Linked DNA regions of Mus musculus. The protein of the gene in region 4 purifies or fractionates together with the protein of the main gene of each other region. This does not show direct contact. Links are inferred from orthologs where the notes say so. Each region holds a gene or a part of one and is shown on either strand. Other genes may lie near its edges. The genes, in order: Tmem259, Insig1, Tmub1, Erlin2, Amfr, Rnf185 and Rnf170.

Evidence for each region.
Region 1: the proteins of Erlin2 (region 4) and Tmem259 purify together in Homo sapiens (affinity purification with mass spectrometry; 3 studies listed by BioGRID and IntAct, with this or other methods). This does not show direct contact. The link is inferred for Mus musculus from reciprocal best matches to the Homo sapiens genes ERLIN2 and TMEM259.
Region 2: the proteins of Erlin2 (region 4) and Insig1 purify together in Homo sapiens (affinity purification with western blotting; 4 studies listed by BioGRID and IntAct, with this or other methods). This does not show direct contact. The link is inferred for Mus musculus from reciprocal best matches to the Homo sapiens genes ERLIN2 and INSIG1.
Region 3: the proteins of Erlin2 (region 4) and Tmub1 purify together in Homo sapiens (affinity purification with mass spectrometry; 4 studies listed by BioGRID and IntAct, with this or other methods). This does not show direct contact. The link is inferred for Mus musculus from reciprocal best matches to the Homo sapiens genes ERLIN2 and TMUB1.
Region 5: the proteins of Erlin2 (region 4) and Amfr purify together in Homo sapiens (affinity purification with western blotting; 4 studies listed by BioGRID and IntAct, with this or other methods). This does not show direct contact. The link is inferred for Mus musculus from reciprocal best matches to the Homo sapiens genes ERLIN2 and AMFR.
Region 6: the proteins of Erlin2 (region 4) and Rnf185 purify together in Homo sapiens (affinity purification with mass spectrometry; 5 studies listed by BioGRID and IntAct, with this or other methods). This does not show direct contact. The link is inferred for Mus musculus from reciprocal best matches to the Homo sapiens genes ERLIN2 and RNF185.
Region 7: the proteins of Erlin2 (region 4) and Rnf170 purify together in Homo sapiens (affinity purification with mass spectrometry; 4 studies listed by BioGRID and IntAct, counting the BioPlex papers as one, with this or other methods). This does not show direct contact. The link is inferred for Mus musculus from reciprocal best matches to the Homo sapiens genes ERLIN2 and RNF170.

The regions. Positions count from the first base shown.
Region 1 is NC_000076.6:79,981,461-79,985,684, forward strand, and holds the start of Tmem259 (membralin), read right to left. Parts: upstream 2,801-4,224; 5' UTR 2,672-2,800; coding exon 2,450-2,671; intron 1-2,449. UniProt on the Homo sapiens protein: May have a role in the ERAD pathway required for clearance of misfolded proteins in the endoplasmic reticulum (ER). Promotes survival of motor neurons, probably by protecting against ER stress.
Region 2 is NC_000071.6:28,069,936-28,074,211, forward strand, and holds the start of Insig1 (insulin-induced gene 1 protein), read left to right. Parts: upstream 1-1,476; 5' UTR 1,477-1,502; coding exon 1,503-1,860; intron 1,861-3,611; coding exon 3,612-3,736; intron 3,737-4,276. UniProt on the Homo sapiens protein: Oxysterol-binding protein that mediates feedback control of cholesterol synthesis by controlling both endoplasmic reticulum to Golgi transport of SCAP and degradation of HMGCR.
Region 3 is NC_000071.6:24,445,047-24,449,228, reverse strand, and holds Tmub1 (transmembrane and ubiquitin-like domain-containing protein 1 precursor), read left to right. Parts: upstream 1-1,382; 5' UTR 1,383-1,472; exon of another isoform or gene 1,473-1,482; intron 1,483-2,276; 5' UTR 2,277-2,309; coding exon 2,310-2,695; intron 2,696-2,955; coding exon 2,956-3,307; 3' UTR 3,308-3,766; downstream 3,767-4,182. Other genes in the region: Fastk (fas-activated serine/threonine kinase), read left to right, coding at 4,082-4,163. UniProt on the Homo sapiens protein: Involved in sterol-regulated ubiquitination and degradation of HMG-CoA reductase HMGCR. Involved in positive regulation of AMPA-selective glutamate receptor GRIA2 recycling to the cell surface.
Region 4 is NC_000074.6:27,033,819-27,036,877, reverse strand, and holds part of Erlin2 (erlin-2), read right to left. Parts: intron 865-3,059; coding exon 785-864; intron 446-784; coding exon 242-445; 3' UTR 1-241. UniProt on the Homo sapiens protein: Component of the ERLIN1/ERLIN2 complex which mediates the endoplasmic reticulum-associated degradation (ERAD) of inositol 1,4,5-trisphosphate receptors (IP3Rs) such as ITPR1.
Region 5 is NC_000074.6:93,974,641-93,978,140, forward strand, and holds part of Amfr (E3 ubiquitin-protein ligase AMFR), read right to left. Parts: intron 1,529-3,500; coding exon 1,394-1,528; intron 180-1,393; coding exon 96-179; intron 1-95. UniProt on the Homo sapiens protein: E3 ubiquitin-protein ligase that mediates the polyubiquitination of lysine and cysteine residues on target proteins, such as CD3D, CYP3A4, CFTR, INSIG1, SOAT2/ACAT2 and APOB for proteasomal degradation.
Region 6 is NC_000077.6:3,450,157-3,454,165, reverse strand, and holds the start of Rnf185 (E3 ubiquitin-protein ligase RNF185), read left to right. Parts: upstream 1-1,209; 5' UTR 1,210-1,957; intron 1,958-4,009. UniProt on the Homo sapiens protein: E3 ubiquitin-protein ligase that regulates selective mitochondrial autophagy by mediating 'Lys-63'-linked polyubiquitination of BNIP1.
Region 7 is NC_000074.6:26,125,868-26,129,367, reverse strand, and holds part of Rnf170 (E3 ubiquitin-protein ligase RNF170), read right to left. Parts: intron 3,465-3,500; coding exon 3,389-3,464; intron 322-3,388; coding exon 213-321; intron 1-212. UniProt on the Homo sapiens protein: E3 ubiquitin-protein ligase that plays an essential role in stimulus-induced inositol 1,4,5-trisphosphate receptor type 1 (ITPR1) ubiquitination and degradation via the endoplasmic reticulum-associated degradation (ERAD) pathway.

The DNA.
Region 1 (4,224 bases), on a different chromosome or scaffold from region 4:
GTGGAAGGCCCAGGGACTGAGACCAAGGCTACAGTCTCCAGCGAGCCACACCTGAAGCTGCACCCACCCTGTCAACTGTGAGGTTCACCCTGGGCAAGAAATCATTTCTGTATCAGGTGAACTGAAGGCCAAGCAGCCCAGGCTGAGACCGCAGCAGTCACTCCTCCCAGTCCAATCCAAGAGCCAGGAACTGTATCCCAGGTCCTGTTCCACCTACTGGGCATCTAGAGTCAACATAAGATAGCCACTGGACAGGGGTTATAGCCTGGGTCCTCTCTTCCCACCATGGCCACTGTGGCCAGCCCACGAGTCCTCACTGGTCACTGACTCGTGCCAGTCACCCCACTCAGGCCCTTGGGCACTCCTCCCTCATGTGCCCACTTGATGCCACATACACAGGCACTGAACTTGGTTATACCGGCCTGGTGGGGCTGCACACCATCACCTCCTACAGACACCTCAATGCCAAGACCTAGGGTTCTTGGGAAACCTCCTACCCTGTAAGCGGGGGTGGGATGGAGTATTGCATTGTCACCCCAGTCTTGTGTCTGGGCTGTCAGTTCATCTGACCAATGGGAAGCCTGCACTGGGGTCAGAATACCAGCCTCACTCATATGCTTGCTTCTCTCTTGTCCTCTTGGGCTCTTCCTTTCCCCCTCTCTCCCCATGCTCACGGCTGTGGCCGGCCTCGACTTCTCTACTCTCTATCTCTACTACACTCTTTTTTTTTTTTTTTTTTTTTTTTTTTTTGAGACAGGGTTTCTCTGTGTAGCCCTGGCTGTCCTGGAACTCACTTTGTAGACCAGGCTGTCCTCGAACTCAGAAATCCGCCTGCCTCTGCCTCCCGAGTGCTGGGATTAAAGGCGTGCGCCACCACCGCCTGGCTCTCTATTACACTCTTAACTCCCTTCCCTGAGCCATGAATAAACTCTATTCTACACTATAAAGACAAAACCAAATACCAGCCTCAGCCAGGATCTCCACGAGATCATGACCCACCCAAGGGTGCCACTTAGCACCTTTCAGGGCTCAAATCCACTTGGTGCAGGGACTTGAGCTGGTGCCACATACCTCCTTGCCCTCTGACCCCTGCCACATCCTAAGGTCTAAGGCACCATGCTGTGCCCCCCTATCCCATGGCTGCCCAGTTTCGGTCCTTGAGGCTCTGAAGCCAGCAGAGGAGATACCAAGCCCAACAGTTCTTCTCTGGGCCTCTGTAGGAGCTGACACCTAGGCTGGGGTGGGAACAGGGCGCAGGGTGGTACAAGCCTAGCAGGCCTTGGCTGTGAGGCGTCCCTTCTAGGAAGGTTGGGTGGAAGCTGGGCAGGCAGGACGGGCAGGAAACACAGCAAATGGGCTCCCAGAAACGTCAGCAGCTCCAGAAACCAGCTGCTGTGTGGCTTGTTTATCCCAGTTAAGAAAGAGGATAAGGTCTACTGTCATCCAGCCGACCCTGTCTCTGACTAGACATTGGGCACCCACCCGGAGCCCTGAGGGTGTGGAGGGCAGGAAGGAAGATGGAGCATGGGCTCATCTGCAGCCAATGAACTGGGGCCTGAGGGGATGCCCACAGCTGTCTTGAGCTCAAGCTAGATCTACCTATGAAACCCCCGAACGCTCAGTTCTGAGAAGCACCAGGAGTGAGTCCCAAACTCACCAATGCCCTCCAATATCAGCATGCCAGCCACCAAGCCATGACCCCAACACCAGAAGGCCCAGGCAGCTCCTCAGAGAGAGCCTGGTGCCATCCCTCGAGTAGCCTTTGTGACCGAGAACCGGGATCTCCCGGGAGCACATGAAGAAGACACAGCCAGGGCAGGTGCTGGCTGTAGAGGTCCCTGGCCAATCTGGCTGTGACTCTGTGGCTGACCCTAGTGAGATGACCTCACCCAAAGCCACAGAAAACCTGGCAAGAGTCTGAAAACAGTGAAGTAACAGAAAATTTGAGCAGTGACACTGGGGGGTAGGGGGCTGTCCCCAGGGGGTTGGTTCAGGGTGTGCTGGAATGGGACTGACTAGTAGAGACTGGACTGAGAGAATCAGGGTAGAATAGAAATGACAGGCGGGACAGGGCCTCCAGCACAGGAGGTGGTCTACAGTGGAAAGTCAGGAATGGAATGGAAATGACCATATTGTTCTCAGTGGAGGTGCAGGACAGGATGGGAGTGACAGGTGGGAAGGTGGACCTCGAGTCCAAAATCCTACTCCAAGAGGACACTGGGCTCTGGTCTTGAGTGGAAAAATTTGGGGCCTAGGCTCCCAAGTGGCAGACTGAGGCCAAAGGGCAGGAGGCGGGGCCTGAGAGCTGAGGAAGTGAGGACCAGAGATAGCATCTGTAAGAGTGGTATCAGGGTATCCAGGCGTCAGGAGCCAAGTGGTAAAGTTGCCGGGGGTGGGCGAGCGGATGACAGCTGGGGTCAGGGGTCAGAGGTCAGGGGTCAGAGGTCACCTTGAGCAGAACGAAGAATTCAAAGAGGCGGCGGAAAGCAGGTGGGAAGAGGCGTGAGTAGGTGACGGCCATCTTGAAGAAGAGAGCGTGGAAGAGCCGGTCGCGCACGTTGATGAGCGGGTTGGGGTTGAGATTGGGGCCGCGAGGGCCGCGCACGGGCGCCGCGCCACCACCCCCGCCGCCGTTGGGCCCGGGCCCTGGGGCTGCCGCGTGCTCCGACATCACCGCCCCGCGTCACCCCGGCGGCCGCCGGCTGACCCCCGCCGCGTCCCGGCCGCCGGATCCCCCCCGCCGCCCCCGGCCGCCGCCGCCGCCTGCCCCTTTGCTCGCGTCCGTCCGGCCCGCGACGCCGGCGAGAGCGCCGGGCCAGAGCGCCGCCCGTGCGCGGGGCACGCTGGGATCGCCGCGGCCGCCCGAGGAGGCCGGGCTTCAGGGCCGAAAGGCGGGCACCACGAGTAGTGGGCGGAGCCTGACTTTACACATTTCATGCGGGTCGCCTCAGCGCTAAAGGGCAGAGTACCATGGAGTTCAGTTTATTTTCCTAGTGCTCCTTCAAGCTTTGTCCGGTCTCGTTTGCAGTGAGCTTGCAATTTGCAGGGGCTACACGGAGTGCATTAAAGAGCAGCCCCGTTTGTTTGCATATATTCACTCCCACATACTGTGGCACGGCCTGGGGTGGAGTCGTGTGTCACGATTCATTTGCATTGAGCTTTATCTTTATATATGTGAGTACACTGTCGCTGTCTTCAGTCTCACCAGAAGAGGGCATCAGATACACCAGAAAGGAGTTGTGAGCCACCATAACGGAGGCTGGAACTTCAACTCAAGATCTCTGGAAGAGGCGTCAGTGCTCTTAGCCATGTCTTTAGCCCAGAGCTCTATCTTAAGCATTGAGCGGCAGTGTCGGGTGTAATTCGTTTGGTTTGTGGAGGGATCCAGGTTAGCGGTGGGCGATCTGTGGGGCGTGGTCTCAGAAACAAGCTAAAACATTTGCATCCACCTGCGGGCGGGGCGACGTTGCCCGTCGTATTTGTATATGGTTTCCTATTGGCGGAGAATTAGAGGGGGCGGAGACGCACTTAGTAAGGCCTATTTACATAGGGCTTCACTCTGGCCACAGCCTCACTTAGGGGCGGGGTCTGCTGAGGACTCATTACCCACCCTGCCCTGGGAGGCAGGGCTTCCTAACTGCTCATTAGCATAATGTTTTCATTGGCGGCCGCAGCGCTGAAGGGCGAAATTCCATGGATAGTTTACTAGCAGACAGTTTCACCATCGCACCAGTATCACGGATTCCGCGCTGATCCGGCTACCACTGAGGGGCGGAGCCTCGTAGTGCCTGTCTAATTTGCATATGACTTCCCAGAAGGCTTCGCTGGCACAAGCTTCTCCCAGACAGCTATATTAATTAGTTAAATGTGAGCTTTCACGCGGATAGATAATTATTCTGAGCGGTGTTATGAGTGGTAGCCTTTCTTTTTGACATGTGAAAACGTTACTTTATCCAAACAAAAACAAAAAAAAATCATAATTACTGTATGTGAAAAGTAATTTGCTTCTCTGCCTTTAAATACCTGAGGCAAAAAACCGTCGCTTGTGCTCGCTTCGGCAGCACATATACTAAAATTGGAACGATACAGAGAAGATTAGCATGGCCCCTGCGCAAGGATGACACGCAAATTCGTGAAGCGTTCCATATTTTGTTTCATCTCAAAATAACGCAATTGACCCTTTGAAGTCTCCTTTTCTACTATAGCTGCCACATTCCCGTACAA
Region 2 (4,276 bases), on a different chromosome or scaffold from region 4:
TTGGGTAAGCAGAAGAAACAACCAAGTTGGTAACAGAGCAATTGTCTGAAGATATCAACCCCTGCCCCCAGGCAAGCATCACAAAAGCACACAAAGTATTATTAGAACCTCTTAGCCTACTTGGTAAGAATTATAACAAGAGGAAAAAAATCCGGGGGAGAGTCTGTAAAGACAAGCAAAATGGCTTGAGAAAAAGGGACTGAATTACATCTCAGTGCTCACAAGACAGATGCTTGGTGCTGGGGCGTGGGTGCAGGGTCTGGGACTGTCCCATCAAGCCAGCTTCCTGCAAGTGACTGGCATGTCTGTTCCTTAGGGCCAAGTTTCCTATGAGCGATGTGTCTGTTCCTTGGGGGCAAAATTGTGTGTATTTACACAGGTGTCGCTTTCTCAACATCTGTTTAGAGTACTTGCAGCTGATGATGGGTGGTAGAGGCAGCACCTGCTACATCCCACAGCAGAGACTCACTGCCTTTAACAATTTCCTATCAGCTGAAGCTGGGCAGGCCCTCCTGCTTTCTTGCTGTCAAAAAGGCTCCCATGTTGCTGTAATACACCATACAGTACTGATGTCCCCAACCCCCGTGTGTGTATGCCCATGAAACCTCACATGCATGGACTGGCCAGAGTGTGGAAAATGGCGAAGACCCAAGTTGCAACATTCCTTGAAGTCAAAACTGCTTCAAGCTCTTCCAAACAACGCATAGAGCCGCCTAAGAGAGGAGTGGACAGGCTGTGAGGGAAAGACAGCCAGGTCTCCACACCCGTGTCACGCTGGGAAAATGACAGCCCCCATGATCTCTGAGAAACAGCCTGCTTAGGAGGGTGACTTTGTTTTACACTTTTGGCACAAAGCCACATTCCTTACCTAAGGTCTCACACACACACAGTGCCTTTTCAGGCCTGCTCACCACCCTGTGGTTTTAGCCGGTGGCGTCTTGGCTAGGGGAGCCCTGGTCTGAGCTGTGAACCTGCAGAGCACTTGCCATTAGCAGCCAGCCCAAGCGATCCCAGGTCTTTTAAGCACTCAGGAGGGTTTGCGCTCCGGGTCCTTTCCTTCGGACCTGCGTGGACCTCATTATCTCAGAAACCGAGGTCCGGCAGCGCAATAGGGCAGCATCGGACCATCTGACTCGCTGGCCGCCCGCTCCGGTGCCCGCCCCGGCGCCTGCCCGAATAGCGCGCGCTCGAGCGCGTGCCGGGCACCAGCCCCACCCCCCCGGTGGCGTGTGCATACGTCATATGGGCCGCCCTCCTCCCATTGGCTCCGGCGGCCTCACCAGACCCCGAGCGGACAGGCGCGCGGACAGGGCGGGGCCGCTTGAAGACACGCCCCCCAGCAGGGCGCGCGGGCGGCGGATAGGCTGGGTGAGGTCACGTGGCTCCGGTGGCAGCCTGCCTTATAAGCGGAAACCGCGCGGGGCCGCGGCCGCTCCTGGGCCGTCCGGGCGCGGTACGTGTAGTGTCGTGGCGTGTACCTTCCATGCTGTGCCTGGACGCCGATGCCCAGGCTGCACGACCACGTCTGGAACTATCCAAGCGCGGGCGCTGCGAGGCCGTACAGCCTCCCGCGAGGCATGATTGCGGCGGCCGCTTGTCCGCAGGGCCCCGGAGTCCCCGAACCCGAGCACGCGCCCCGGGGCCAGCGAGCGGGAACCACAGGATGCAGCGCGCGGCCGGGCAGCTGGCACCACGACTTGGTGCAGCGGAGCCTAGTGCTCTTCTCATTTGGCGTGGTCCTGGCCCTGGTGCTCAACCTGCTGCAGATCCAGCGGAATGTCACGCTCTTCCCCGACGAGGTGATAGCCACCATCTTCTCCTCCGCCTGGTGGGTGCCCCCGTGCTGTGGCACGGCAGCGGGTGAGTGCCTTTCCTTGTTCTTGGGGTGGGGGAGGGGGATGAAGGGACACGTCAGCTGTTAAAGTCACCCTTGTTACAAGAAAAGGAGAACGGAGAGGGTAGGAAACCCCAGACGTTGGCGAGCGACAGGCGGAAGTTGGAGGGACTAGTGATGGAGATGAGGTCAGGAGATAATTGGCAGTTTAAGTGGAGGAGTCGCAGCTGTCTCGTTGAGCCAGAAGCCAGGATTGGCCGCCTGGAGAACTGGTGAGGGCAGCACCACGCAGCTATTGGCTGCCTGAGCAAACGTGCTACCTCGCTGGATAACTGAAAACAAACCATCACGTGCGCTCAAGAGGCAGTTGCCAGGGGACAGACTTCTCTGCCTTCTGCAGATTGTGGCTATCAGCCAAACCTTCTGGAACTCCGTGCCCAGTAGACTTGGGACAGGAGGAAAAAAGGAGCCTTTGGGCCTAAGCACACCTATGGTGTCACCTCTTAGGCCCAACGAAACTTGTAACAGTGCCACAGTCTTTTTTCTTTCCTTGATCATTTTGCTGCTTTTTGCCAAAAGTGTTGAGTAATTACAGTCCAACAGATCCTGCATAGTTTACAGTGTACAGCGTTGATAACCATTTGTCAAGTGTTTCTCCCCCCTCAGCCCTGCTTGTCCTTGTCCTGTCCTGTGTAGGTGGGCAGTATTTGCTCAGGTGCATCTTTCCTCCAATCTGCAGCCACAGGACAGCAGGAGCAGTGCCTGTCTGCTTTGAAGCCAGCTTTTATTGACTGCCTGCCTATGCTTTATATGCTGGGCTTGGGTGCTGTGCTGTAGCTGAGTCATGGGTTAAATGTAGGATGCAGGACACTTAACTGTTGATTTCCAAGGCTGCTTGCTCTCAGGCTCACCTGCAGCATTATGAGGGTCAGCCACATGACAGTTGTGTGCTTCTTGGTTGTTTTGGACTGGGGGTGGCCTCATTCATGCTAGGCAAATCATCTGCCACCAAACTACTATCCCCAGCATTTAAAAGTTCCTTGGGGAATAAGATGGAGATTTGAATTCTCTTTTCCTTACATATGAAACCTAAGGCTCTTTGAATTTGAAAGTTTATCTTCAACATGAAGCATCATGTTTGTGATGAAAGTTTAAGGGAACCCAGTAAACCAGTTTCTCATCTGAATATGAGGCTGGACTGGTACTGCTTTCACCACTGAGGCTGAGTGCCTGTGTTCACACTGGACAAGGTGGGACGGCAGCCTGACTGAGGTCTTGTGCCCTGTGTCCATGAGACTGCTCCCACTTGTACTGCAGACAGTCCCTCCCTTCCTGGGTTTTACTCTCTTTGTGTCTTCTGGAGTGCCCAACTTCTGCTGTCCAAATGTTTTGGAGTCCAATCTGTGTTTGTGACAGTTCCTAACTCTGAGAACCACAGAACCTTCTTTGCCCTCCACTTTACTTACATAATCCTCATTTCACACATGCGAAAACAAACTCGAGGAGACCTGTCCAGCCTCTCTCCCTTCTTGAGACCCTACCCTCCTCACAGTGTGAGACTTGTCTTCACTGGGGCCAGGTCAAGGCTGAGAAAAAGAGAGCAGTGTGGGGTGGCCTTCCCACAGCCTTTTCTTACAGGTGTATGTAAGGTAATACTTTGTGCTACAGGTGACAAACTGCCGAGGAAAATAAGTGGTTTGGATCCTACTAATAATGACCACACAAGGACTGATTTTCACCAGTGTATCCTAATCCTGTTTTGTTTTTCTTTAAACAGCTGTTGTCGGTTTACTGTATCCCTGTATTGACAGTCACCTGGGAGAACCACACAAGTTCAAGAGAGAATGGGCCAGCGTTATGCGCTGTATTGCCGTGTTCGTTGGCATCAACCACGCCAGTGCCGTATCCTCAGTTGGTGTCTGTGCAGAGGGTCATCTGGGTTGTGGCAGGGTATATTGACACTGCTCGTCCCCTCGTTCCTGAGCTTCAGAGTATGACTTGGCTTTCACGTGGCAGGAATTTTGGGGTTCCGTTCCTAGGACCTCTGTACTAAGAGTAGAAGCAGAGGTTTACTGTGGCTCAGTGGACTTTTGTCCTCTCTCTTGCCTTCTACCCCACTGATGTGCTCTGTGGTAGTGAGAGCCCTGTCCCTGTTCTCTGTCACAGGAGCCCAAGGCTGGTCAGGAGGTCCCTGCGGGCTTCTACTTTCCATAGCTGACATTTTGCCCTTCGTGTAGGCTGCTGTGGTTTTATGCATTTTCTATGAAAATGACCAATTTGATGGTAAACTCTTCAAATGCTAAGTTTCTAGAGCAACTTAGAGTAAAAGATCTTGTGAAGTTGTGTCTGCACTTGGGGCCTTCCTTTCCTGCCAGCCAGCTCTGAGAGTGCTCACTGACAAGCACTGAATCAACTTACCTACTACCTAGGGGACACAGAGAC
Region 3 (4,182 bases), on a different chromosome or scaffold from region 4:
GAAGAGCAGAGTAGGTTATCTTTAATTAAGACTGGACTGGATGGGGCTAGAGACATGGCTCAGGAGTTAAGAACATTTGCTGCACCTGTTGCTGCTCTTGCAGAGGACCCTAATTCGGTTCCTAACACCTACATGGCTCCAAAAAACTGCCTATTACTCTAGTACTTCCTCTGACCTCCAGAGACGCAAGGCTTGAGTGTGGTGTACTTAAATATACTCAGGCAAACACCCATACAAATATGATATACAAACCCTTGTTTTTAAAAAACTAATTAGGGACTTGTTCTGCAAGCATACGGGCCTCCATTTGACTCCTCAGTATTCATGTCAGAAACCAGGCTTGGGAGCCTCTGCCTGTACCCTTAGCATAAGAGAACAGAGACAAGTCACACAGACACACATGCATGTGCAAACTCCCAAGTCAAAACTGGTCTGTAAAATCTGGGATTCAAGATTTCTGCAGATATTGGAGTCAAAGGAATAAGAAAAAATCTACAGAGATTGGCTGTCACAGATCCATCGTTATATCCTTTATGTGGAAATACTTTTTTAGGGGTGGGAGAATAAAACAGGGTCTTTCTAGGTGACCAAAGTTCTCAACCTCCTAATTGTCCTACCTCAAACTCCCAGTGCTGGGATTACAGGGCTATGTCACCATACTTAGCCAGTTTCTCAGTTTACGTTTTGGTGAAGCCAATGCATTAATACTAGGCGAGCAAAATACAAAAAAATACATAAATTTTACAGAGCTGTCATACTTATTTAATAAAACGAGTTTCTTCTTTCCAACTGACCTAGAAGAATTATACTTGTTCAGAGATTAAATAACCCACCAGAGATTATATAGCTGATGAGTGTCTACATGAGACCGCAGGATGTACACTCAGTTCCAAAGTCTATGCCATCTTTACAATCTCATAGGGACACAGTGCAGCAGAGGCCAGGAGACAGCTGGCGTCAGGCACTCTCCCTAGCAAGTGGGGCAGACAACCTACACCTTCTCAGCAACAGAGTCAATTTAGAAAACCAAGCTGCTTTTTGGCGTCCACAATGACACAGGCTTGGCTGGGTAGTGGCCACCTGCGCTTCCCAGAGCCTTCATCACTGCATCACCAACGCGGGTGCTCTGACATGCTGCAGGATGACGTTGGTGTCAGGAGTGACAGATGCTCCAGCAGCTGGCAGCGGAGATAGAGTTTCTTGCTGCTGACCAAATCTCTGTGGACAAGCAGAAACCCCAGGGTCCTTCCCGTGGGCCCATCGACGATCCAAGGGTACCGGCAACATCTGGTCCAGCCCGGCACGTGGGTTCACAGGGAGGAGGGCGGGAACTAAACAGGGCGAACTACAATCCCCACAATGCTCCCGGGCCGCGGCAGCAGGGAAGGAGAGGGACCTCAGGTGTCTGCGACCTCGGTGCCTTCGGCCCGGAAGTGCCCGAGGAGCCGAGATGGAGCTGGTGGAGCTGGGCGGTGAGTCGCTGTGCGTGGCCGCGCCCACCGGGTCGCCCCAGGCCACAGCTGGGACCTGCTTGCCCCGCCCCGAGATAGCTGGTGCCCTCCAGTAGCTCTGGGGGGCGGGCAGATGGGAGGAGTGATGGAGTAGTCGTGGGGAGGGCTAGGTCTAGGTTCTCCCCGAGGGATCAAGGGTCTGGAGACCTCTGGGTTTGGAGCCCAGGAGGCGCTGGGAGACTGCTGCGGGGTGGGCTTTGGGTGGACCCGAGAAGGTGCCGAGCTGAGTAGACAACTCCCAAGACTCCAGATTGGCCAAGGGTGGAGTTTGACATTTGGGGTTGTCTAGGAAGCTTTGGGAAGTGGTCTTTGTTGTGGGTGGGGTTTGGGTAAATGGTAAGGGGGAGGGCAGGGGGCTAGAGAGACACTTTTATCAGAGAAACTTAAGCGACAGGGCATCAGATGAGCTTTGCTATAAATAGGTGAAGGAGTGAACTTTGGGATGAAGTGAACCAAAGAATAGGTAAGCTTCTGGGTAAAGTTTGATGAAGGTTACATTTAAGGAGAGGGTTGCTTAGAAAAGCAAGGCCCTTTCTTGAACGTAAGGTTTCGGTGAATCGGGTGCTGAATGAAGATCTAGAACTCAGATAGCAAAGCTAGCACTTGGAATCTGGTGATGGGAAGGGACGTTACCCAAAAGCCAAGTTTGGGACTACAGGATGCTGCATCCTGGGTGCGCAAGCACACACAATAACTAGGACAGTTGAAGTTGGAATGACTTCTGACCAGGAAGTAGCCCCTCACCAGTTCTTTGCACCTCTCTAGCTCCTTAGCACCTCTGGCAGCAGCACGGGTGCCATGGCCTTGATTGAAGGCGTAGGCGATGAGGTGACTGTCCTTTTTGCGGTGCTTGCTTGCCTTCTGGTGCTGGCCCTCGCCTGGGTCTCAACACATACCACTGAGAGTACAGACCCCCAACCACAGCCGCCGGGGACCACAACACCAGCACAGCCCAGTGAAGCCATGTCAGCCTCTGACAGCATCAGAGAGGAGGCCCCAGGGGCTGAGAGTCCCAGCCTGAGACACAGAGGTCCATCTGCACAGCCAGAGCCTGACACAGGGGTCACAGCATCAACACCTCCAGACTCTCCGCAGGAACCCCTACTTCTACGGTTGAAATTTCTCAATGACTCTGAGCAGGTAGCCAGGGCCTGGCCTCAGGACACCATTGGCTCCTTAAAAAGGTAAGCTGGGAAGAGGGTAAGAACAAAATGCTAAAAATGGGGTGGGTGTCTATAGAAGGGTCACCCTATGAAGCTCTCCCTTATTTTCTGTTTGAAAAATCTGTCTCCTCACATTATACACCATTCCTGTTAATCTGTCCCCCAGAGGCCAGGATCTGGGTGGTCAGGTGTAGGGGTGGTGAAAATTGGGATTGGTCCTCTGAACAATGGGCCAGGACTGCCTGAGGCCTGCTCTCTTACCCAGGTCCCTCTCTCCTCAGGACCCAGTTTCCAGGCCAGGAACAGCAGGTTCGGCTCATCTACCAAGGTCAACTGCTAGGAGACGACACTCAGACACTAGGCAGTCTCCACCTGCCCCCCAACTGCGTTCTCCACTGCCACGTGTCCACGAGAGTCGGTCCCCCACATCCTCCCTGCCCACCGGGGTCAGAGCCCGGCCCCTCCGGGCTGGAAATCGGCAGCCTTCTGTTGCCCCTGCTGCTTCTGCTGCTGCTCCTGCTCTGGTACTGCCAGATCCAGTACCGGCCCTTCTTTCCCCTGACCGCTACCCTGGGTCTGGCCGGCTTCACCCTGCTCCTCAGTCTCCTGGCCTTTGCCATGTATCGGCCGTAGTGCCTCCACGGGCTTTTGGCAGTGTAGCCAGCCCCTCTGGACCTCATTCCCCAAGGCGCAAAGGGAGCTGCTGTCTGCCCAGGCCCACTTCACCCGCTGCCTGTCTTTTCCCACTACCCTGGAGCCCAGCTTTGCGCCGCAGAGGACTTCGGGTGTTAGCGGAGGCCGCTCCGTGTGATCTTCATAGCTCTAGGCCATCTCCTGGGGCTGCTGGACCTCAGCCTTCGCTGGCAGTGGGCTCTTCTGGATCAGGCACTTGCTGTCGCTGCCTTGGCCGCCAGGGCACCCCAATGGGCCCATCTTAGTGTGCTGACAGAGGATCTAGATACTTCTAGTTTCAAAGAGCTGCCTAGGCTGAATTGGAAACTGGTGGACTGGGAGACTGGTGAAGGGGAATCGAGAGGGGCAGAGTTGTTTTCTGGAATTTGTGCAGATTAAAGAAACTGTGACGTTTTCCTACCCAGTGTGTCTGTGTGTTGCTTGAGGGTGGGGAGCCCTTGTTCTACGAGAATGGAACCTGCCCTAGGTCCTGAGTGCTCAAGCTACCCCAGGGCTGGACAGAGGACCGCCACTCCCGGCACCTTTCAGCGCAAGCTCTGTGGCCCCGCCCCCGCGACGTGCGCATTTCCCGGAAGCGGAGGGCGGGGCTCGCGGCTCCTCTGCTCGCAGCGCCTGCTGGGAGCCACGTCTCCGCCGCCCTGGCGCTGGACTGCGATTGGCGTCTGGGGGCGATCCGGGGGCTGCTGGGAAGATGGCGGACTCGGTGGCCCGCTGATGAGGAGGCCGCGGGGGGAGCCCGGCTCCCGGGCCCCAAGACCAGCTGAGAGAGTGACCTACGCGGGGCCCGGGGAGTCATGTAGGGTGGCGCCTGAGGG
Region 4 (3,059 bases):
ATACACCTTCTCAGAAGTCATACAACTTACTTACCTGAATTAAAAATAAACCCAAAAAACAACTCTCCATCTGCTCTCCCTTCCCAGAAGGGGGTAAGTTTGTGTCCATTTCTTCCTTTTTAACCACAGTAAGAAGAGTCAAGGAAGGTAGTGTGGAAAGGAGGAGCGCTTTGCTCTGTCTCATCTTAAAGAATACAGCTCTCTCTAAGCTGCCCGAGCAGAGCTTGCAGACAGTGTTTCCTCAGTTCTCCTTTGTGGGTGCCTCGAGGGGCTCATCTTCTAGGCCAAAGCCCAGCTTGTCGTCGCTCAGCCCCTCAAACTGCTTGCCCAGCCCCCCTGCGGAATCCATAAACATGTTGGGGATGTCTTTGCCGAAGTAAATCTTGCTGTTGGAAGCAATGGCCTTGTACTTCATCAGCTGCAGGTATTCTGGAGTCAGCTTGAGCTGTGATGGAAGTGAAGAGAGCTTAGGGAGGGGACACCAGAGAGGAACTTCATCTGGGGAGGGCATCTGTCAAGCAGACATGTGTTTGCATGTCTCATGGCCTCCCTGTTACCCAGAAACCATTTTTTTCTGAGAGAAAATAATCTAAGGTCTATGACAGAGTAGCAACAGTTTCCAGAGTTTTCCTGTTCAATACAAAATGAAGCTTCTATTAAGGCTTCCCACACAAGAGAAGCGCTGTCTAACCCAGCAGAGGGTCCTCAGTTCTGTTGTGAGGGCTCTGGGTAGCGAGCGGCAGAGGCAACACCTCCTCAGGACGGTGGGTCAGGCGCCCTTTACCTTATTTGCTTCTGCGATCTTCAGCGCTGTGTAGCACTCAGCGTCGGCCTTCGCCTTCTCCCGGGCCAGGAACGCAGCATCTAAGGGGTGAAGGGTGCAGGGAACTGGATCAAGTACAAAACCATGGGAGGTACAGTCTGGGGGCTGGCAATTATAGCTCAGTGGTATAGACAGCACTTGTCCAGCACACATAAAGTCCAGGTTCCATTCCTGGCACTGCAGAAAACAAAAACCCAACAAAGACACTTTCTGGTCTCCATGGCCTTGGAGAGATTGTTTTGTGTGTGTGTGTGTGTTTTGTGTTTGAAATGGTCTCACCTTATAGCTAGGCTAGCATTGGACTATGCAGACTTCCTGTTAGTACAGAGAAACCAATTCTCTAAAAGAAAGTAACGTGAGATCTTCCCGACAGTGCAGCAAGAGCTTTGGTTTACTGCAGGACACCTCCATCTGGCTTCATCATACATGATGTACACTATGCATATCATATGGTGTCACCCTGACCCTGCCTTTCCAGTGCTGGGATTACAAACATGCACTGCCTTGCCTGTTCAATACCACAGATGACCCTTTCCAACTTCATCTCCCCAAAGTTTCTAACAGTGATGAGGTTGGCTAACTCTAGATTCGTGCATGCTGGTCCAGAGGAGCGCTGTCTGGTTCAGACCTGCTTCAGCACTTCATGTAGCAGTAACCCTCCGGCTCAGTGATGATGCCCAGCTCAGCTTTGAGCCCTGTGGCCCGGGGATGCGCCAGCTGCACTCCAATCACATTCACAAGGAAATATTCAGGGGCAATAATTAATTGGGGATGCTGGTTTATGGTTGTTTTTGTTTACTTTCCACCATTTTAAAAAAATTAAAACCTTTTCATTATTACAGTGTTTATTTACTGAGAGGGGTGGAGCACGGACAGCATGGCACATGTGTGGAGGTGAGAGGACAACTTAGGGAACTCAGGTCTCTCCTCTGCCATGATCTAACTCGGGCTGTCAGGCTTGGCAGTGAGTGCTTCCGTTGCTGAGCCATCTCAGCTGGCCCGCTACTGGTGTTTTTGAGACGCTTTTCTATGTCACCCAGTAATCCCAGTGGATTACTCTCTTTCCACCCTTAGGCTTGTTGGTATAAATTCGGGGCCTCGGGTTTGACAGCAAGCACTTCCACCCACTGGATGACTTCATCTGCCCTTCATTTCTCTTTTCACTCTCAAGAAAATGCCCTGTGCACGATCTACACAAGCAACACAATGATCCATCTTATAAAAGTTTATTTTTGAGTATGTGTATCTGTGTGTGATTATGTGCTTATAAGTGCAGATGTCTACAGAACCAAGAGGGTCAAATCCTTCTGGAGTGGGATTTATAGGTGGTTGTGACCTGCACAATGTGTGTACTGGATACTAAACTCAGGTTCTCTGGATGAGCAATTAATCTCTCTTAGCAGCTGTGCCTCTCTCAGCCCCATGACAACCATTTATAGGAAATGAAAACACTGCTTTACCAAGAGCTCCCTGGTGAGAGCCCACGATCTGTGACATCCTAATCAGCTGCTTGGTAGGTCCCTGCAAAACCTGCAGGCTCCACAGTGAGTGTATAATTACACGGAACACTGTGGCCTGAAGCTTCCTTGAGGATCCCTTTGTCCTGGAAATCATGTAGAACACTACATGAAGCAAGGTGAGGGCAGTGGGGAAGTGAGGGCCCAGGAGGGGACTGCAGTGAGCGATGGCTGGAAGCGAGTGACCAACACTTCTCAGCTCCAGAGCTGCACATGCTGAAAAGGGTCGTCACCAAGGCTAACCTAATGTCTGTGTGGGCCTGGAGAGCAAATAAGATGAAAGTATGCAACCAACTGCCTCCTGTCCCCTAACAGGGTCTTGCTATGGATGACAGTGTGTATCAACATGCCTGGCTCTAGAGAGAGCAAAGGCAGGAAGAGCTGCTGCTTGGGTCCAATGTCAGAGTGATCAGACACACTTGTCAGCCTGAGCTCAGCTCAACGGGGGCTGTGAGATCTTTTTCCTTCTCTTCCTCTTCCTTTCTTGTCTCTTTTCTTTTCTGAGCCAGGGTCCTGCTCTGCAGCCCAGAATGTCCTATGACCCACCACCCTGTTCTGCCTTTACCCTAGGTGCTGAGACTCTAGGACTATGCTACCACGCCTGGACTGACACCCTTGCTTCCAGCACTGTTTAGTTAGTTACTTACAAACATTTATTTATGTGTATGTATGGGTGCATGTGCAAGCATGCCCTGGGGAGTGCTCAGGGCTCAGATGAC
Region 5 (3,500 bases), about 67 Mb from region 4:
TCCCTTAAGCTGTTGCTGCCAAGGGCAAGGTGGCCGTAAGTAACGCAGGACCACGCTGCACTCCTGCAGCACAGCTCCTGGTAAGCTGACCTCACCTGGACAGAAGCTTCTCCCTCCTCCAGGTCAGGGCTGGGCCTCTCCACTGGGCTGTTCAGTGCAGGCCTCAGGCTATCCGACCGCTGAAAGAAAGCATGCAGTCATTCAGGGTGGGGTGACAAAGGGGCAGGTGACAGTTTTCGACACAGCTCACAGCCTGAAAGGTGAGACGAAGGATGTGGAGGCCCTCATGGAGTTCCATGTTTGAGAGTAGTTAGTAACTGCTCCATATTCAGCTTCCTGTTCAATAATAGTGATTGCACAACAAAAGCAAGGGCAAAGGTCAACTGCGCGGAGTAAACACTGTTCCCGGTTTTCATAACCTTCCTAAAGTGCTCTGAAGCAGGCATTGCAATTAAGTCTCCAGACTAGAGATGTTCTGGGTCCTCCCCACAGGCTTTATCGCTTAAGGTCTGAGTACCTTCATGTCTGCTGTCTGGTTTATGTGTTTCACTGACAGCCCTATCCAGCCATATGAGGCAACTCTGCCAGCTCCAAAGGCAGCTAACAATCAGGTCAGAGAGCTGAGACCCAAGGGACCATATAGCTAGCACCTTAGCCCAGCTGTCTCCAAAGGCTACACTCGTCAAAAGAGCTTCATCTTTTTGAATTGTATTGATATATTTCTGTTCACTTATAGGCTGTACACAGGAACTTTTGGTAGATGACTGTCTGGCCTTATATTACATTCCTCAGTATTACTGAAGGCTCCTCTCTTGCTTTTTCTGTGCCTCTCTCAGAGGCCGAGTGATGAGGCACAAACTCTGACCTTTTTAATGAAGTCCAAAGTCCAAGCCTCAGCTCCCTGAGAGATGTGAACTGTCACTAACACACCACATGATGTACAACCAGCCTTCTCTTGGAGTGCCAGTGCTCCATAAACCATAGCCCCATGTTCGCCCCTCTCTACTTCTACAAAGAATGTTTTACTGGACCACAGTCTTGCTCATCCACATCCTCACTGCCAATGGCCACTTTATTTGCAGCAGACTGTGGACCAAGCAGAGCCTAAATAGTCACTCTTTGCTCTTCACAAAAATAGATGCCAGCCTCTGACAGGAGCCAATGGCGTCCCGGTACAGACCTGCAGTGAGGGAAAGCTGATTTGGGGTATGTTTCTGCATAAAATGTACTTGGATTATCTGTATTTACCTTTGGTTAATCTGTTCTCATGAAAGATTTGAATGAAATGAAATTCATATAAACCCTTCCTCAAATTATAAATAATATTTAGGTGTTAGGACTAATTCTTTGTAAAAATAAAATACATTTGTTAGGCATAAAGCTCCAGTTTTACCTGCGTGGGGAAAGGTACTTGAATCCGTCCTTCTAAGATGTTATCTGTTGTTATCTCCACGGAGCGTGTCATCTGGAGGTCCTGGAGCACAAGGTGGTACGGGACCTGAGGGAACATCTCCTGAATCTGATGAGCCTAGAGAAACATGAAGGACACACAGCAAAGGTCACTCTCAGCAGATTTGAGGGTCAGTACGCACACTTGGCAGGCCCTGGACACAGAGGCTGACATCATTATCTTGAAAGCACAGGTAAAGGCCATTTTGGCTCAGCAGATCACCTGCACACTGCTTTCTTTTTATTGTTGTAGGGTACTAGACTTCTGGGATACCAGCAATTTCAAAGTAAAGAGCAGACAGAAATCTAGTAGTATCTCAAGAAAGGGTCAAGTCAGAGTATCTTCTGGCTTTAAAGATCTATTTGATGACTTTATGTGTGCCAGTATCTACCTACGTGTATCCTAAGCTAACAGGATCCTTCTAAAGTTCGATGTTCAGACACAGCATGTGTAGTATTCATATCCACTATGCCAAGGGAGAGCCAGACTGGGACTCCATTAGATGACATCTGGAAACAGGCACAGGGAGAGGGAAAGCAGAGCAATGTGGGGCTGGGCGTTCTGCTCAGGAGCTTGTCTAGCAGGCAGGAGGCCCTGGCTGGGGAGAAACTGACCTCAAAAGAACCTTGGACCCACAGAGAGGAGCAGCAGAGCCACTCTGACTCTTGTTAGATTAAGTCTACACAGCTGTGTGAGCTAAACTTGAGATTAACCAAAGCACATTTTTACTGCATACAAATAATAAGCGCAACTTTAAAAAATAGAATTAAAGAATGTAAGTTTCTATATGCAAAACGTAAAATATATTTTTTAATTTATAAACTTTTTTTTTTAAGATTTATTTATTTTGTGTATGAGTACACTGTAGCTATTTTCAGACAGACCAGAAGAGGGCATCAGATCCTATTATAGATGGTTGTGAGCCACCTTGTGGTTGCTGGGAATTGAACTCGGGACCTTTGGAAGAGCAGTCAGTGGTCTTAACACTGAGCCATCTCTCCAGCCCATCTTTTTAATTTATAAAAGTCAATTTTTAGCCAGGCATGGTGACATGCCACTCTCACTCTAGCACCCAGAGGCAGAGGCAGGAGGATCTATAAGTTCAATACCAACCTGGGTACATACTAGGATTATGAAAATATCTAGTACTGCCTCAGAACTACAATTTTCAAACAATGCTCTAGATCCATCACTGCACACACTTAGAGGTTTAGCCATGTGTGTACAGGACAAATACATAAATTTCCATCCATACTTCAAATTCATCCATACTTCCATTCAAGCACCTCAAAACTTGTGTGTGTGAACACATGCATGTGTTTTATACATATAAATATATTTTATAAATGCTTGCATTCTAGGTTTGTATTGTAGAAAAATCTCCATAATTTACAGAGCAAGAGAGAAAAGAGAGAGGAAGAAGCAGGAAAGACCACTGCCTTGGAGTACGACTGAATGTCAGTTTCCTTTTTTCTTTTTTTGTTTGTTTTGCTTTTTTCTTTTCTTTTTTTTTTTTTTTTTTTGGTTTTTCGAGACAGGGTTTCTCTGTATATCCCTGGCTGTCCTGGAACTCACTCTGTAGACCAGGCTGGCCTGGAACTCAGAAATCCGCCTGCCTCTGCCTCCCAAGTGCTGGGACTAAAGGTGTGTGCCACCACTGCCCAGCCTGGATGTCAGTTTCAAAGGAGCACAGCATCACAAACTGCACGTGATGGCTTGTGTCTCAGCACTGCAACTGAAAGAGCAGCTCAGGTGAAAACTGTCCAGAGCTTTGCTGAGTCACTTGGGAGAGACAATGGCAAGATGTTCAGTGCCCAGAGGGCCCAAGGCTCCGCATCACTGGAGACCCCCTCACAGCATGTGGACTGGAAGGAACATTTTATCCCAATCAAATCAAAGCAAAGTGGGAAGAGTCTCTACAAGCATTCTCCCCTCCTCACCTAGCTCTCCACCAATTGAGGAAAAGAAAAAGGGAAACAAAGCTGGATCCATTTTATTGAACTTTCTATCATAAATCTTTCTACCAGAAAATCCAGTCAGTTAAATACTA
Region 6 (4,009 bases), on a different chromosome or scaffold from region 4:
CTACTCTCTGTTTTTTGTTTTTGTTTTTTTGAGCTGGGTTTCTCTGTGTAGCCCTGGCTGTCCTGAACTTGCTTTGAAGATCAGGCTGTCCTGGAACTCACAAAGATCTGCCTGCCTCTGCCTCCCAAGTGCTGGGATCAAAGGTGTGCACCGCCAATACCACCTGTCCTTTTCCATTTCTTGATAAGTTGTCTAATTTTATTCCATGCCTAGTTTAAAAGGTGTGACCTTTTCTCCATCTTCTGGCAGCTGTTAGAGTTTTCAACTAGCCTTGATTGCTTTTTTCAAACTCTAATAAAGTTGTCCTGAGCTTCCTTTGAGTCTCTTCTAAATTCTTGTATTAATGATACTAAGAACCCCCCAAAGAATCTTACTTTTTCCAGGAACAGAAGGAGGAGGAGTATTCTGACCGATCCCTCAGGTCCCCCACAGGTGGAGCTAGAGATTGATAAGGTCAAGGACTCTGGGGAGAGGATGCAGGCTCACCTGCCATCTGGCGTTTGGGCTTTCACACTGGCAAGCAGAAGCTGAAAGCCATCCAGTACAGGATACAAGGCCGGTGTGCCAGCCCTACCTCAGCTTACACACAGGAATGCTACTGCTACTGCTTGTCCGAGGCAGGACGGAAGTCCCTTCTTGTTCTACAGAATGAGGTGTGCCGGCTCTCCACCCCCCACTCCCCCCACCCCTGCAACAGCACAGCTATGCAGCTTTGTAGGAGCTGCACAGCAAAATCACTCACCTGCACTGAGCACTGTTGCACTGGACTCACATGTTTTTATATATGGAAAGCTAAAACACCAATTTTTCTAGTTATTTTTAAATATAATAAATGCACTTGCTACTGTAAAAAAAAAACAATCCCTCATTGGTTACAAGTTCATCTAATTAGTTTTAAAATAAATTACCATGTATTTATTAAGTGTCTCTGTATACATGTGAAGGTCTGATGACAACTTGCCAGACTCCTTTCCTTCCACCGCTGGGTTTCTGGGGACTGAACTAGAGTTGACAGGCTTGGCAGCAAACATCTTTACCTCTGAACCATCTCATGGGCTCCAATTAGTTATACTCTTATTACCTTTATTATTTTGATACTGAAATTTCACAGATTTGGCTAGTAGAGTCTTCAAGAGAGCTCCTGGGTCGTTTTGCACATTCTCATCCATCACCACTGTTAGCATTCCTTCTAGGCTCCGCCCCACAGTTACCTGGCAACAGCGAGGTATGCCCGGCTTACTATAAAAGGGGCTGTTCGCCCCCTCCTCTCCCTTACTCTTTGCCCCCTTCCCCCTCCGCCCTCTCTCTTCACGCGTTCCTGGCCGGCCTCTCTCCCTTCTCCTCATTCTCTACTCCCTTTCCTACTCCACTTCCCATGCCTCCTCCTCCTGTTCTTCTTCTTTATAAAACAGAACAACCACTGACCTTACTTTCTTGTACAAGGCATTCCAAACTGGTATTTCTAGAACTGGCTTTTTCATCCGCCCATTATTTTTGCGACACGGTCCCATGTATCCCAAGCCTGCTTCGAAAACGACATTGAAGTTCTGACCCATCACCCGAATGAATGCTATGATTAGCTGGCGGGTACGCACATATTTATTCCCACGTCTTCACGCGGGCGAGGCGAGCTCGCCCATCCACCGAGCTGCCTTCCCTCCTCTTCCAGCGCTAGGAAACCCTACGGAAAGACCAGACGCCCTCCCCTTCCTGTCCCGGGGCGGAACTTACCAGCCGGGCGCCTGGGCCGGAGAGCAGCGCTGCACACCAGCCTTTTCCGGCTGGAACCGGAAGTTGTTCTACTAGAGGCGGCTCCGCGTCAGGTGACCAAGTTCCCGGTAGGAGGGGTCGGAGGTTCAATCTTTCTGACTGACGCGTCTCTAAGACTGGCTCGGCTACTCCGGGACGGGGGAACGGACAGCTGGCGTCGCTGGCGCTCGCTCTACCGCGGCGGCAGGTAGGTGACGAGCTGGGACGGCGGGCCCGGGAGGCATGGGACCCCCTTCCCAGGCTCAGGGATCTGAAGCCAAGGGCCAGGAGTCATCCAGTCTGGCTCTGTCCAGGTCCCAGAAGGAAGGTCAGACTGGCATCCGTGGGTACAGATTGGGCAAACTAAGGCCCCAGAAAAGGGAAAGAAGGGTGCGCACAAGCTCCCCTTCCAGACGGGGCTCGTCCTGACTCCCGTAGCCTCGGGGGCGGGACCGCCTCTCTCGTGGGTGGCGATTTGGTGGAGTGGAAAGATGAGGAATGCGGTGAACAGATTTGGGGTGAAGCGTAGGAGACCTGGACTTGAGTTCGCTGCCTGCAGCTCACTGTGCGTTCGAGGCCAAGTCTTTGACCTCCCTGAACCTAGTTCCCACAGCTGTACAACCGGGCACAGCTGTCTCAAAAGCGTGGGCCTCCACAGCACCTGCTCCGAAACCCTCCGGGATGCCGGCTCTCCAGCCCTGGGCTTTTCCCACAGCTTGTTTCGAATCTGGGTCTGGATCCTAGGAAACCTTATTTTGAACGTTCTCCTCTGGAGTCCTACTCGTGTTTGAAGCCTGCTCATCCGAAGTGCGGTCCCGCTGTGAATGCGGTACTCGATTCGAGGCAGCTGGAGCCGGCTCGATTCTATGAAACTTCTAGCTTAGGAAAGAACGCCGGAGGAGAATAACTAACTATCTTTAAAAGCTGGCGCGGGGTGGGGGTGGGGGTTGGGTGGGGGAGTTATGGCAAAGAGGCCTCCTGCTTGATCTTTGTAGCTGAAAGAGGTACAGCTACGATTAATAGGTAGGTTCTAGGGGGAAGACACATGTGTACTTACTATTAAGAATTTAACGGAAGAATTATCAGAGGTGACGACTGATGGGGATTGACTGTCTCCTTGGGAAAGGAAGTATACAGGAGGCGGCCCTTTCCAATTTAAAAGGCTCGTATTAGTATTTATTGTGACTCTTACCTCTCCACTGATAACTCTGTCTTCAGAGTGTATGTGATACTTCTTTTGTGGTCTGAGACAGGGTCTCAGGGATCTCAGGCTGTCCTCAAGCTCCTTTTGTAGTTGGCCTTGAACCCGGATCCTGCTGTTTCAGTCTTAAAGAGTGCCAGGATCACTCGTTACTTAGTACCATTATGCCTACAGAATGTGACATTTCTTTGTCTTCCCTTCTGGACTCTCCTCCCTAGTTTATATCTCCTATCAATAAGGCCAGCACACTTGATCTTATGTAATCTTTTACTGGTTGTCACATTTGTCATCCTTCTTTTCATCATCCTTTTTGGAATGATCCATTATCTGATAAAAATTATCCAAAGTATATGTTGTATTAATAAACAGGAAATAAAAATTAATTAACTAAAATTAATACATTGGTCAGTTAGTAATTTTTGTTTTACATTTAAGTTTTTAAAATTTATTTTAAGTCGGGGTCTCACTCTGACATTCAGCTCAGGCTGAGAACAATTTAGAAAGTCAGTCTCTGTCTGTCTTATCTGTGTCTCTCTGTCTTTTTCTCTGTCTATCTCTGCTCTCTTCCTCTCTGCCTCCATCCCTCTCTTCCTTTTCCAGAGTATTATTATGTAGCCCAGGGTGACTTCAAACTGGTCCCCCTGCCTTAGCCTCCCAAATGCTGGGATTGCTTGTTTTGCCCAAGGCTTTGCTTGCCAGTGGGCTCTGATTACAGAATGGAAGGCCAATTCAGTTGTTTGGGTCAGTCTTCTCTCTGGTTTATAAACTGAACTTTAATTCTTTGTCTAGCAGTGTGTGTATAGGTGTGAGAGTGTCTGCAGTTTTTAAGCTAGCTTTCTGGATGCCCAGCACATATGACCAATTCTTTTATGGTCCTGACTTGCATACCTATAGCTTTGTAATCTAACTTTAGATTTCCTTATTTTGCACTTTACCAGACACTAAGTAGATAACTTTTCCATCTCCCATTAGAGTACTTAAGAATGCTTATGTTGTCTGGAGAAGCAAAGATTCCATATTATGACCCAATTCTGCTGACACTTCCTCCACAAAACAAAA
Region 7 (3,500 bases), about 910 kb from region 4:
CTCTACCAACTGAGCAATATCCTCAGACCTTAGTATGGAATACACTAAACAATATGCTATTATTTGGGTGGCAACTAGAGCAGGACTTGTGAAGCAATCTACTCTTCTCAGAACATAAATGTGATAAAAAGAAAATGAGCAATCTAGCCCACTACCAATCCACAAAGGTCTCAAGCTGGTGACTCTAACCAAGTCGGACATAATTTGCTCACCACAAAAGAGATGTCCACAGTTTGTTTCAACAGGAAAGGAGGCTTGATGTAAGCAGATTGGACAGTACATTTCAGTGTAGAACTGCTGTCGGGCAGGAGCAGGGACATCCTGGGGAAAGGACACAGACATCTCTCAAGACAGAAATTACACATGCGCAATAGTTTAACGTCTTGCAAGTCTGAGAAGCTTGCAAAGTTGTTTTATTTGAACTCAGTGGCCTTCACCTTCCTCCCTACACACAACTTGAAAACAAAATGTAGATTAACTCAAAGCTAGCTTTTCTACTTTATTAAAATGCATGTTATTTGAATTCTACAAGCTGCGATATAAACTAGAGAATCCGAAACACCCTGCTTCAGTGTAACTCAGAGGGAGAGCACCCACTTAACATGCATGAGGCCCTGGGTCTGATCCTCAATACCATAAAAACAGAAAAAATATCAAACTATCATTCTTAATATTCACCAATTTTTTTAACATTTTAAACAACCTTTTTGGTTTTTAAAACAGTCTTGTTTTGTAGCCCTGTCAGACCTGGACCTTACAGCAGCAATTCTCCCCAGCTTCTCAAATGCTAGCATTGCAGGACCGTGTCTGGCGTCATCCTTTTCATTGAACACCTGTCCCCTGTAAAGTTTTGCATATCTGCTCTATCTTCCACAAGAATTAATCTTCCAGTTAAGATTATTTGCTCATTTTATAAGTAGGGAAAAAATGACCACTTTTGGTCATGTGAACGTGGTCCTTTGGAAACCCACCCTAGTAAATGTTAACATGCTTCTCATTGCATGTTTGTAATCCCAACAGTGAGGACGCAGGGTCGGGAAGGTAAGGGTTCCAAATTACCCTTGGCTGCCTAACAAGTCCCAGGGTTGGGCTACATGAGACCTTGTCTTAAAACCCCAAACCACGCAAATATGTAATATATGCATATTCTTTGATTGTATCACTGTTGTGATCAGATAGTAGTACAAGTACCACACATCAAATATGATTCTGGAATAAAATGCCGTGAAGGCAAAAACTCCACTTATAGGATTCACTGTAGTACCTAAGGACCTAGAAAACTATCCAGCACTAACGCAAACGTACACCTTCATCAAGGGCTGGAAAGCTGGCTCTGCAGTTTAGGGCATGACCCGTTCTTGCCGTTCATGTGTTTGGTTCCCAGCACACACATGATGGCTCACAATCATCTCTAACTCCAGCTGCAGGGGCTCTAACATCCTCTTCTGAATTCTATGGCACCAAGCACATACATGATGCACATACATTAGGCAAAACATTCATACACATACAATAAATAGGTATTAAACTTTTTAAAATAAAATTATCACAAAAATCAAAAGTAGTAAATACAAACTTAATTATAAAATGAATTAAAGAACTTTTGATAAATGTTAAGATATTATAATTAGAATTTTAATTTCTTAAAATAGCACTAATTACTAAAATAATTGAAGGTAGCATTGTTATTCCAGTGTTAATACTACAAAATGAAAATATTAAAATATGTAAATACTACCAGGCAGTGTTGCACACTTAGGAGGCAGAGGCAGGCAGATCTACATGAGTTGGAGACCAGCCTGATCTACAGTGTGAGGTCCAGGACAGCCAAGGCTACACAGAGAAACCCTGCCTCAAAAAAAAAAAAAAACAAAAAAAACCAGTAATTAATATTAAAATAAAAACTTATACCTTTCTTGATGTTTTTCAAAGAATATAACAAAAGCCAACAGAATAGCTCATATCTATAAGCCCAGCATTAGGGAGGCAGAGGCAAGCATGTCTCTATGAATTTGAGGTCAATTTGGTCTACACAGCAAGTTCCAGACCAGCCAGGACCATGTAATTCTGTGTCAAAAAAAAAAAAAAAAAAGAGAGAGAGAGAGAGAGAAATAAAAAAGGAAGTATCTATTTCATTTCCGTTAAAGTTGACTACATTTTTTATACAAACAACAAATACAAAAATCGTTCTCCTTTAGAACAAGGCGATAAAAAGCATGCATGTATCTGTAACTGGACTTCTGGGTTCTTCTTTCTTCCATCCTTCTCTACCTCTCTTCTTCCACCCTTCCAACCCCTAACACTAGGTAGGCGAGAGAAAAGGACTGAGGAGAAAGAGGGTGATGGTATCATGAGACTACTTCCTACTGACTAGGGCGTCAAGTTCTTTGGAGCAAATTTGATCTTGTCTGTCAGGATATCTAGTTCCTTCTTTTCTTCTGTTTGCACCCGACTGCCTGATAAACCGCAACCAACAGCATCCAGCCACCAACCAGCCAACCAGCAGCCATCTATGGGGCTCTAGCACTTAAGACACCCTCTGAAGAGTCCCCAGAATTCCAAAACGCTGTCAAAACCATGCCCCTGCTTAAGGATGATGCAAATCATAGTCAGCTGCTGTGGAGAACGTGAGGTAACACCATATCCACGCCTGAGGTTAAAATGAAAACATATTCCCATATGTTTCTGTGGTTTTCAAAGAAACCAAAATCCTCACTGCATGCATCCGTATAGATTAAGACTAGTCAACATGCCACTAGGTTGATCGCTCTTGCCAGTAGCTCCAGAACTTGGGAGGTCTAGTGGTCTCCATGAGAATGGTCATATAACATTTGAACGCGAGGCCTCTGGCAGATGGAACTGTTTTGGGAAGGATTAGGGGACTTGGCCTTGTTGTCACTCAGGGTGGGCTTCAAGGTTTCAAAAGCCCACCTGAAGCCCAGTCTCTCACTCGGCTCCAGAGCCACGCCTGCCTGTCTGCGGCCACACTCCCTACCATGATGATAATGAACCAACTCTCTGAAACAGTAAGCAAGCCCCCAGTTAAATGCTTTATTTTATAAGTTGCCTGTACCTGGACTTATAGTTACAGCAATAGAAAAGTAACTGTGACCGAGGTAGAGTCGGGAAGATCAGGAGATCACGATCATTCTCAGCTCCCCAACAAGTGCCAGGCCAGCCTGGAATACGCGAGACTGCCTGGATGTCCTCCCAGTCCCGTCAAAAGAACATGTGCTTAATCTGAAAATATGTAGTCTGAGGAACAATATAATGTAAGGAGTAAAGCAGCTGATGCTTCTTAAAGCTACTTTCTAATGTCTTATCACCACTCCTATAACAGGAAACTACAACATCCCCTTCTATAAATATATATACTACATCAGCATACCTGTTCTGTTTGGAATTGTTCTCGAAGCACTCTGACTAGCTCCTGGTTTTCTGGATGGATGTTCTGCTGTACATTTCTGTTGGACAGAGTTTATAAAGTTAGATTAACCCAT